3 linked regions of the Drosophila melanogaster genome follow. The protein of the gene in region 1 interacts with the protein of each later gene in a pairwise test. Each region holds a gene or a part of one and is shown in the gene's direction. Other genes may lie near its edges. The genes, in order: BORCS5, CG3224 and Unr.

Region 1 (4,026 bases):
TGCTGCATCCGCCGCTGAGCACGAGCAGCGTTTGGAATCCGCACTGGCGTCCAAAGCTAACGTCCTGGGCCAACATATCTCCGATCATGAGCACCCGACTGGGCTGAACGATTTGGTAATGCTCGACAAGCAGATCACCCAACTCGCGGCCAGGCTTGCCCAACGTAATCGGCTGCTTGCCACTGGCCTCCACGAGGATGGAGGCGAAGGCTCCCGGACCTACGATGTTCACTTCCTTGGCCACCGGTAGCAGGCGATCGGTGGCGCCTTCAATGAGCATACACTCCGGATGGCGCAGGTACAGGTGGGCGCGCAGAATCTTCGGGGAAGTCAGATTGAAGTCCACGTCGATGATGACGGCGCGCACGGGCTCCTTGCCAAAGATGTGCTCGGCCAGGCTGGCGTAGCTCTCCTCGATGAACTCGTTGGGCTACAGGCAGAGTTGGTATATCAAATATAGTTTAACTATGCATAGATAGGTTATTGGATTGTTCAAATTCAGGAGCACTGAAAACCAGCACCACTCTTCACCCAACTTATTTACCACTCACCCCGTCCAGGAGCTGGAATCCCGCCTCGCGCAACACCGTCTTGAACGACTGGCTGGCGATGATGTAGATGAGTCCCTCGAACTTGATGCTCTGCAGATAGCTAACGATGGACTTGGCCGGATGCCAAATCTGCTCCGGGTGCACCTGCATCCCGATCTTGGCGAAGAGTTTGACGCACTGCTCGGACGTGCGAACGCTGTTGTTGGTCAGGAAGGTCAGATGCTTGCCCATCTGCTCGAGAGCGGCATATCCGTCGGCGGCACGCGGAATGCTCTGCTCAAAGGTCCACAGGACGCCATCGATGTCGCTGACCACCCGGTCGAAAGAGTCGACAACGCTGCTCCGCTGCTCCTGGCTTAGCTGCAAAATGTGCTGGGGTTTGGCCTAAGGTTGTAATTGAAAATTCAAATTTAATTCAATAATTAAACTCAAAAAACTAGTAATGGATTTTTTTTAAAAACTATATAATTCTTAACAAGTTCGGCGCTTTGTACAAAAAATGAAATTTATCTATAGCACTTTTTAAAACTTCTAGCATTAAAAGAAAAATTCCATTTTTGGTGACAAAACATCTTTAGCGTTGTAATTCGTGACCTAGACCAACATTAGTTAAACTTTTGTATAAAATATAGGAAAATTGTAAATGGCAGTCCCAGAAAATAATAATAATAGTATATGCGTAGACTTAAAAAACAAATAGGCAGGGGGATCGATGGTGCACCTCGATAAGATTATTCCAGCAAAGCCCTGTTCCCTGCTCACCATTGCAATCCGTTCTGGTGAGTGAAAGTGTTGCTATCGCGATCACGGTCGTCAGCCAACTGACTTTGCTGAATATTGCTCGAGCTGAAATCGAAACCAAAACCAAAACCAAAACAGAATCTATATCCCATGCTGAGAATTAGCACCTCAAACGGCAGAACGACGACGACGGCCACCAAAACACTGGTGAACTTATACGGAAGCATTGGAAGAGAGGGCTCTCCACTTATCGCCTGGTCTTATCTGAACCCCAACGACATCCCCCTACTTATACAGTCCAAGTGGAGCTCGATTTCAAAACAATAGACAACGAAATTAGAAGAGCTTGCAAACAAAAGTTATAGTGTTTATATTTAAAATTATCAACAGAAAGTCTAGGAAATGATAGGAAATTAAAAGTTATAAGCTATGGCTTCAAATTTAAACTCCATGTCTAGATCTTAAAACCAAAGAATTAGTATTTCTGTATTTAAAATACCTAACCGAAGCTTTCAATATACAACTATTTAATATGAACATTTTGTAATAATTTCAATATCACTAGCTTATAGTTTTATGATTTATTTAGTAAAGTTTCACTTTTATTATATTCGTTTTTTTTTTTTTTTAAGAAAAGCCGAATTTCAATGAATATGTAAACCCCCCTACTATTTGAAAGCTGACATCAAGCGTGCAGTGGAAACAGCTCGTTATCTGTACTTTAATACCGAAAAACGCACTAGCGCATTTCAGCTGGCAGCTGGGAAATTTTTAGGTCCTGAATGAGACTTTGTTGCGATTCGATTTGAGGCTTTGGCATCGATTTGTTTTGAGGTGTAAATCGACTGGCTTGGGCCACTGGAAATGAAGCAGCAGGTGGGCCCAGGACAGCAACAGTGACAGCGCCAGCTAACCACAAAATTCGGGCCAGGAGTACGCGGAACTTGGAGTCGGAATCGACAGGAATCGGATCGATAAATGGGCGCCGAGCATTCGCAGCAGCGGGCTGAGGCCGATGGCCACGAGATCTTCGACGGACGCCAGCCACCAGGAGCGGGCACTGGATCCCTCGGCGATGGCAGCTCCATGATGCTGGCGGCCACGGCGGCGGCCAACAAACGACGCGGAGTTGGTCATCGCCAGCAGACGACAGGAGGAGCAGGCGGAACAGTGGTGGGCCCGGGAGCTGGAGTGGGCCCAGCTAGCATTGTGATAGCTAGCAAGCAGATCATCGCCGAGGCCGCTTCGCCCGGCGGCTCCGAACTGAGCAGACCGCCTTCGCCGCCGCTTAGCGTCTGCTCCGACCTGCCATATGTGTCCTATACAGATCGGCCAATCGGTGATTCGCCCAAGATACGCAGCAAGCCGGCGCATATGCTCCAGCAGAGCAGCGCCAGCCGTGCGGCGGCCAGGAAGTCACATCCGAGTGGACTCACCAGCGCCGTGAAACCGAAGCGACCACAGTCCACGGCCTCTAGTCATAATATAGTGATTGTGCGTCCCGGTGCCATCGATGCTGGCGAGGATGTGGACATGGACTTGGCACGATTGCGCAATATACCGCAGTTTCTGCCCGTGCTCCGTGAATCCATCACGTCGGCGACCAATACACGAGATGCAGAGATTCTGGAGCGACTAAACTCGCAGCATTTGATCAACATATGTACCCGCATGCAAACACATCTTAATCTGTGCGCCAGCTATGTGGCCAGCGAACAGAATCACCTCGTGGAACGTACCAAGGTGGTGAGCAACTCGATCACCACCCTCTTTGCCGGATTCGTGGACATGCAGAAGACGTACGCCTCGTACGCCGAGCAATTCGCCAAGATTCGGAGCATATCGCATCAGCTGAGCAGATGCAACTCGCTGCTGCACGAGAACATAGCCAGTCTGGAGGCGATCAATAACTTCCTGGACGACGAGGACCGCCTGGAGCCCTTCGTCTGGCGCACCGACGACAACAAGCTGCGCGGCGAGGCTGAGGGCGCCATCGGAGGCAACAGCAGTCGCCTGTGGCGGCTGTAGGATCCCCACACACTTATTGGTCTCCAAAGATTTTCCTAGCTCATAATAATCGTGTATTTATTGTGTATATTACTCGTTAACGATGCCGCTTAATCGTGATTTTTAATTAGTAAATCAAACCTAATATTAAACTCAATTTGATATTTTATTTCTCGAAATGCAAATAGTATTTTTCTATATTATCACGAAAAAATAATTCTTTATCATTGGAGTGAGGCTAGTTTTGCAAATGCGATAATTTTCTTTCGGTCAGCCAACCAACCACAATAGATATCTCACCACAGTATTATCGTTTGAAACTCATATAAAGGAAGAAACCAATTTGCTTACGACCTTATTTGTCCATTTAAAGGTTTGGATATTTATTTTATACACTGTATTCTCTCTTATGCAAATGCATATTATTACGTATGCTTGCCGCATATATGTATACAAACAATAAAGTCTTCAACTACAATTAACAATTAGACAGCGGTCAAAAGCACATTTATTACTTCTTACACAATTTGTCTAGATTTAGAGTAGATTCTAGCTACGAGTAAATATCGCATATAGGGATATACAATACAATACAAACATACATATACGACTATGGACAACAAATGTGAAACATTTGATTACTATTTTTGGTAACGCTACGCAAACAACATTTTTCATTCCATATACACACGATTACAATTCCACACAAGCATCTGGATGGTACATT
Region 2 (3,324 bases), 5.2 Mb from region 1:
TTGGTTTCTATGGAATCCCTGATAGGAAATCGTTTGGGCGCTTTTCTTTGGGAGGCAATGGGAACCCCCTTTTCAGCGCCTCTGATAATTAAACAGCAGAAAACTAACGCACTGGGACCAAACCGGTTGGACCTATTCACCTCTATCACTCTCGCTTTTATTCGCCTGCATTAGTAGCTTTGCCTTTACACAGAGAGAAAAGCATTTGTTACTCTTATCATGAAATAAACCATTATCACTAAATATTGTTTAAGATTTGTATATTTTCTAGTTCTATTTTGGGCAAGTAATAATGAATAATCTGCGTTTACCAGTAATATTTCTATTATGCTAAATGCTAAGACTCAGCGAAATAGCTAAGATATTTTGATATAAGTTTGAAAATGGAATTTCACGACGTGATGAAGTGTGATTCATTATTCATATTATATTAAAGAATTAAAATAAGAATTGAATTAAAATTTAATTTAGTTCCAAATATCAAGTGAAATTTAAACGATCTAGCAACGTAAACTTTTTTCTTTCTGTTTATTTGCATGGACAAATGGCATTAACCGTTGCTTCATCTCATCAGCTGATCTCCGCCAAGAGAGCCCCATCCTCTGCTCCTGCACACACACACACACTCACAATCGCACCAATTGCGAAATGTCAAATCGTGACCGACATGTATTGCAGCAACAAATGGGAGAGAAACGGCGAGAGTGCGTGTGTTTTTTTTCTATTGCAGGCCGGGGGAGCTATTATATCACATGTGTAAAGAAAAGAGAGTAGGAGAGAGTTTGTTGATCTGAATTCGAACATACATATATCACTCAACGCACGAACACAGATAGAGGGTTAATTGTGCTTGTAACGGTATAATTGACTGATAAGCGATTGGCACTGATAATCACAATCGGTATGCAATCGCTGATTATCGATAAGGACTCCTAAGCTTTGTTTTTAGTTTCGTTTATACTATTTCACGCATTTCGCGTTCTTTTTGTTGTTGTTGTACTTACTGCAATTGGCGGGCAATTGGCTCGAGTTGTAACAATCTACAATGTATGTATGTATGTATGCTGTAACACCGGTTTAAGTGACGAACTCAACGGAATGTCTAGCTAAAAACAGAGAGTCAACGAAAAATGCCAATAAGCCAACAGTCGTACATTTTAAACAATGCATGCAGCTGCCGTTGACACCCACCCAACCCCCTGCACCAGTCATTTAACAACAATCACAGTTTCTGATTTTATTTTGTGCTTCGTTGTTGCTTTTTGCGCTAAATCACACACGCACACACACTCACTGCAAACGCTGAGCTTTTGAAGCAAGCGAGATAGCAAGAGTGGACCGGCTGCAGCATCTTATGAAAAATAATAATTGCTTTAATCGTTTTTGCAAGTGTAAAACCCGATCTATTTCACAGTGTTGTTATCCAATCACACATGTGTGTGTGCGTCCAGCCCACACACCCACTATTTGTATTATCAATTGCACTTTATCAACGCAAGTTAAACCGAACTCTATGTTTATGTATTCAAATGTTAGGGGCTTACTTTACTTCCTGCGGCAAGGAAATAAATAATATTAAAACAAAATGCGCACGGTCCGCCCGCAGACAACTTGTTCGCACGATTGTTGATGAATTAATTGCAAGCATATGTTTTTTTATTTAACAGTGCGCTGCCTACGAAAAGGCACTAAATAATGCCAAAAAATAGTATTGTAAAAGACGAAGTAGATGGAGTGCAGCTTAAAAATGAGTAACTTATACAACTTATTGTCGCAACAAGTAGCTAATTTATGGAATTTTAGTTTAATTAGTTTTGGTTGAATTTAGTTTTATTTCGAATAAATAAAAACAGCTGTGTATCAGTGTGCACACACCACGATTTCTTCAGTTATCGATAAGAAACCAATCGGCCGGGGACCGTCGCCAACATTCTATGTGCGCATTAAATTAACTTGTTACCTTTAAAACCCTCGTTTCTTAACCAAAAAAAGGTAAAGTTAAGCAACAAATTACTGTAACAGTATATAAATTAACATTCAAATGCATTACAGGTTTTAGGAAACACCTAGCAGCAGCAGCAGAATCTAAAACCCCATTGGCAACCAAAACACGTGCCAAAACAAACGATTAAATTTTCCGTAAAAGTTGTAAATATAAAAAAAAGTCAGCAAGATGGGAATGGTATCGAAACGCAAGAAGATGCACTATGGCGATACCCATCTGCAGAGGAGATGGCGTGTGCGGAATCGACGTCGTGATCTCGACCAGATCGACGACGATCTGCAGACCCGGAGCGGTGAACTGATCAATCAGAATGTGGATCTCGACAAGCCGGGATTCGCGCAGTTCTACTGCGTGCACTGTGCCAAGTACTTCATCGATGACACCGCCATGCAGGCACATTTCCGCACCAAGGTGCACAAGAGGCGTCTCAAGGCCCTAGAGATCGAGCCGTACAGCATCGAGGAGGCGGAACGCGCCGCGGGACGTGGCAGCTTCGTGAAGCCCAAGAAGCGGGCGATGGAAACGCAGCCATCGAAGGAGGACGTGGTCGCTGGCAAGAGGATCCGAGTGGAAGTGGTGCCCGAGGATACAGATGCCACCGATTCGCCATCGACGTCCAAAACGAAGCGCAAGAAAGTCGAGAAAATGGAGACATAGGCGAGGAGGATGAACCAATCTATTGATCTAGCTTAGTTTTTAAGGCCCTCGGGGACAGGACTTTCTTCACCCCCCTCCCACAGAACTCTGTTTACCTCCAATTGCTTTCTTTAAATACATTTTTTTTCCAACATATATAAATCGATTCAAAATTAATTTTCATTTAATGCGCGCAAGGGTGGCGAAAGATCAACAAGCTTCTAAACAACAAGCAGTTCAACGCTTCCAAGCGGCAAAGCTTTATTTACCGTTCTTTTGATTTCTCTCCTGCAGCTCAAAAGTTCAAGTTCTCTCCGCAAGCGGTCACTTTCTTCGTCCGTGAGCAGCGGTAAACACAAAATGCGATGGCTGACGCGCTTTAAAATTAAAATTAAATAAATATCAGCGTCGTTTGCTGTCGAAAAGTGCTACAAAGTGTAATTAACCAGTGAGCGCAGGTCGACGCAATGCGTTTGATACGGTATTTCTAGTTTAAACGGGTGAAATTGGTAAATTTCTGCAATTTCCTCATTCTCCTTTGGGCTCATTCTCCGTTGGCGCGTGTGTGGGTGTGTTGGTGCGTGTTCAACTGGCATTCTCATGTGCACTTAAGAGTATGCTACGTTTTAGAGCGGTGATCTTGTGCATTTTGCCATCGCGAGTGTTTTGTTGTGAAATGGCTC
Region 3 (4,842 bases), on another chromosome or scaffold:
CAGAGACCAAACTTTGGACCTTTTGCAAATGTGTATAGAAATGTAACGCAATCCAGGCAATTAAATAACCCTAAAATATGCAAAACCAGATGCAATTTAATGTGTGACCAAATCGAAGTGCTCGTAACGTAAAAATTATAAACATGATATTAAATCTTTTTAACTACAATTAGCCCGAGATTTATATTTAGCGAGGGCGTTTTGATAATCTATTCATGTTGATAACATTTTGCACTGTCGAATGTATAAAAGGCACCGTAACCAATTAACTAGATTTTGTAAATTGTAATCTTTAAAAATCTGTTCAAGGATAATCAATTTATCAGCATACATATGTATTGGATCCCATTATCATGCAAAATACCATTTAAGTTAATTATGGATTAAGCAACCAAGGAGCTGCTGAAATAAAATTCGTTAAAAGACCCAGGAAGACGTAAAACTAATGTGATTTTCTGTGGGCTGCTAAAAGGAATCTAAAAAAGGGATTTTTTGTGTTTTATGTTTTATGTGACAGAACTTCCGAAAATTAAGAATTAAACTAAGTGAATACACTTCTGCATTTTTGGGGGAATTCCAATTTTACAAAGATAATAACATATCTTCCATATTTATTTATCAGAACAAATAAAACTAGTTTCATTTTTTAAATCAATATATTGCCGCTTAATAAAAGGCGAAAAGATTTTGGGGTTGGCTTAAGTTAGAAATAGCTAGCGATGGTTCTTGTCTCGAATACGTACAGTTTAAAATTAAATATTTAGATGTAATTTTCTTAGTAATAATCCATTTAATTACATAAATTGCTTTTGTTTATTATTAAAACTAAGAATATTACATAAAAGTCACATACAATTCATATTTTATAATTTGCAGTGATAGCATAGAAAATGACATAGATGTATAACCCTGCACTTCTACTACTTTTAGACATTGCATTAAAGATAGTCCCTTTAACTGAATTAAAGTTAAATCGTTATCTTAGATAAGTTTTGATTATTTAAATATAGGAATAGAAAAGCTAAGAGATCCCTGCTCCTACTCCCATGACCACTGACGTCACAATTGTCCCTCTCTTCGCACACCTTCCAACACTGCCATCGTGCTGTCGGCAAATATGGCGCCCGCTAGCAGTTGTTGTGCTGTCGTGTGGTACGTGTGGCTGGTCCAGAAAATTCTCGTTCGCTTCAAATAGGACTATTATTTAACTCAAATTCGGAACGAAAATATGCAGAAAATGTGCCGCGAACAAAGCTGTGATGGAAAAATATGAAATGTGTTAGGGAAATTAGTTTTTAAATGGCGAATTAACGTTTTTTCGTTGCCCAGCCAGATTTTCTACGCTTCTGTGTGTGTGTGTGTGCGTTTGAGGGTACCAAATTTGCAGCCCGAAAAAAAAGTTGATGAAAATTCGTTTTTTTGCTACCAACTTGGCACTTCGGTGACTGTGCATGTGTGTGTGCAGTCTGCGGGGTTGCTAATTTTACGCTAAAAACCACAACAATAATGTGTAAAAATAGTTTACGATTGCAATTGCGTGTGCGTGTGTATGGGCGTGCATGTGTGTGTGCGTAGTAGGTTGCGCCAGTGTGTGTGCAATTTTTTCCGGCAGGCAAAAATCTCTCCATTTGCAACACTGAAAAATCGATAAAACTGCAGCAAGACTTTCGGTGTAGATTTCACTAGCCAAAAATAAAAGAAATAATAAAAAAGATGTATTAATTTTTCTTAATCGTTTCCACCTTTCTCTTTTTCTCATTCAACAGCTTTTGTAACTAAAACTCCGTTTTGACATCACTTTCATCATAATCTGAAAAAATAATAATAATATAAAAAAACAACAACAAATATGATAAAAAAATAAAAAAATCACCATCGAAAACGAATCAAAAAATAATACATACAAATATAAATCGCAAATAATTGAAAGTTACAGCAGAAATAAAAAACAACAACAACATAGCTCAAAAGGAAAAAGTCAAAGCAAAAACTTTTTAAGTTTTTTGGACTCTTCTTTGTTTTTGTTTCGTTTGCTTTGCAAAGAAAAACACACAAAACAGAAAAAACGAGAATTTTTACGCCGCCCGTCGGTGTGAGCGAGACAGACAGAGAGGGAGATAAAGCGACTGCGCAAATAAAAAAAGAAAACAAAACAACAAACAACATAAAAAACAAGCCAAGCTTGAAACGAAGACTTTCAAATAAAACAACAACAAAACCAACAACAAACCAAACAAATTGAAACGCTGTGAAATTAACTCGTCAATACTCAAAAGCACCAACAAATAAATAAACAAAAAGAAAAGCTAAAACAAAATAAAAGGCAAACCACGAAGGAGCAAGTAAAGCGGAGTTTAACAAGAAAACGGCAAAAGCACTGAAAACAAAAAAGCAACGGGAAACGAAACTAACGTGAAGTCAAAGGCAACGGCGCTGCGGCGTTCGGACTCTCGAATAAAACAAAAACAATTCAAGCAAAACCGCAAAACCTACACTTGGAAAAACGCTAAATAAATCCCAAATTCCTCATTATTTTTCCTGAAAAGCTTTAATTTAATTACGAATTTTTTGTTGTTAAGTCAGAGTGAATTCAATTTGCTAATTAATTTAAATTAAGACATCAACAACCGAGCTACAAAAGCAGCAACAACAACAAACAAACAACAACCAACAAACAACTGAATTAATGTTTTAAAGTACAAAATAACCGGGAGTAAATCAACAACAAATAATTTAAACATATTAAAAACGATTTAATTTAAAACGCAACATCAATCTAAATTATTTAACTAAACATAAAAACAAACACTGCTAGAATTTAAGTCCAAAAACAACTGATAAACGCCCACAAGGGCGAAAGGGAAGTGGGAGACAGAGCGATAAATGGAGGAGAAGCGAGGAGAGCTGAATAAAACCGATCAAGCAACAATTGTGCCGCAAAAAAAGTGTGAATAAAAAATATATACTAAAAAAATAACGGTAACAATAAAGAAAACATTTAAAACCAAAAATCTACAAGAATTCTATAAGTTTTAAGTCACGTTTTACACAGACCTACAACAACAACACCAGCAATTGAACTTAGCCAATAAATTTAATTAAAACAATAAATTAGTGAAAAAAAAATAAACGGATTAAGCCAATATATATAGAGAACGCATAACAAATTCAAAACTGCGGCCTTGTGCCAAAAAAACAGTTTTTATTTTTTCCAATAAAACATTGTTTTTTACTAGTTTTCAATTCAGATTTTTTTATAAGTGTACCTAGTGAGAAATGTTAAAAGTCTAAAACAGCAAAAGCAACTGCAACAAACGGAAGTAAAACGGAGAAAAGAAAAACAAAACAAATTCAAAGAAAGATTTAACAACTCTGTGATAATTACTGTAAATTTATAAATTTAAAGAAAAAAAAAAAACAAAAACCTAAAGAAAAACCACAAAAAAATCTCTAATTAAATGAAAGGAAAACCCCGTCATTTTTAACAGTAGGCGAAGAAGAAGAAGGAGCGAAAGAGGAAGCAGAAAGCAGAAAAACATCTTAAACCAACAACAACTTTACACTTAAGAGCAAATGCAAATGAAAAGATAAAAAACATTGAAACAAATTCGTGATATCTTAAAGGACTTCGATACATATATACTATAGTATATTATATATTATATTATATAAACTATTAAACTAAGCTTAAATCTAGTGAGCGTCAACCGAGAAAACAAAAACAAAACAATGGAATAAGTGAATAAACAACAAAACCAACCAACACAAAGCAAAAAATAAAAACCCTAGGTTATGAAAAGACTTCAAAACGCATTCAAAAAATATATATATTTAAACAAAACAAAATAAATCGTAGACTTAAAGTTCAACATAGTAAATGAGCGAGGATAACTTTACATAACGGGTGTCCTATATCTATTATATACATATATAAAAACAAAAACAAAAAAACATTAAAACTCATAATTTTTGCTTAGTGAATAGTAAATGAAACAGCAATAAAACAGCAACAAAACAACAAAAAAGAAAAAACAAATTATACAAATCGTGCAACCGAAAAGTAATAGCAACGTACAGCGAAACAAAATAGGAAATCGACACAGAAAGAAAGAAAGATACAGAGAGAGAGTGAGCGAGGAACCGGAAACGGAAGTCCCGAGAAGAGGAAGAAGGAGATTTAAACCTCGTCCCCCAAAAATCATCGTTGTACTAAAGGTATTCGAAAGTAAATAAAAAATCACTACTACTTCCTATAAACCACAACGATTGCCTACAAAATATATATTATATATATGTATACTAAATAGAAACCAATATAATCAAGCAAAACACACAAAATATTCAAATATCAAACAAAGCTAATCTAACCCAAAAGTAAAAAGTATTCCCAGTGTATTTTTCTAGTAAAACTAAAGTAAAAATATAAAAAAAAATCAACCAAATTCATTTCAAACAAAATGCAATAATTCAATAATAATTCAAAACTCGAACAAAAATAAAAACACCAACGGCAGCAGAGCTGGTGTGCATTTTCATCGTAAAACCACAATATTTTGAATACACAAAACAAACAAAAAAAATATTTCAAGAACAACAACTTTAAAAAGAAATACAACCTACAACAGACCCAGGAAGGAACTTCAAACTACCAAAACAAACCAACAACGTTACAATATTTGTCGGCATTTTTTACAAGAAATATAAAAACACAAAACAACAAGGAACACAAAAAACCAACAAACAAACAAACCAACAACAGCAAAGGAAAGCTAAGTAAAACAACCACATTTTTTGCGGGGAATGCCCTCAAGAAAAGACAAAAATTTTTATTAACTTCGAAGA

What was found.
Region 2: the proteins of BORCS5 (region 1) and CG3224 interact in a two-hybrid assay, tested with the Drosophila melanogaster proteins (one large-scale study listed by BioGRID).
Region 3: the proteins of BORCS5 (region 1) and Unr interact in a two-hybrid assay, tested with the Drosophila melanogaster proteins (one large-scale study listed by BioGRID).

The regions. Positions count from the first base shown.
Region 1 is NC_004354.4:11,870,791-11,874,816, reverse strand, and holds BORCS5 (BLOC-1 related complex subunit 5), read left to right. Parts: upstream 1-2,037; 5' UTR 2,038-2,270; coding exon 2,271-3,320; 3' UTR 3,321-3,518; downstream 3,519-4,026. Other genes in the region: CG15739 (uncharacterized protein), read right to left, coding at 1-430, 552-935, 1,314-1,316.
Region 2 is NC_004354.4:6,660,022-6,663,345, reverse strand, and holds CG3224 (uncharacterized protein), read left to right. Parts: upstream 1-1,883; 5' UTR 1,884-1,992; intron 1,993-2,052; 5' UTR 2,053-2,173; coding exon 2,174-2,662; 3' UTR 2,663-2,794; downstream 2,795-3,324. UniProt on the Drosophila melanogaster protein: Involved in pre-60S ribosomal particles maturation by promoting the nuclear export of the 60S ribosome.
Region 3 is NT_037436.4:8,438,643-8,443,484, reverse strand, and holds the start of Unr (upstream of N-ras), read left to right. Parts: upstream 1-1,777; 5' UTR 1,778-4,842. UniProt on the Drosophila melanogaster protein: RNA-binding protein that acts as a regulator of dosage compensation in both males and females.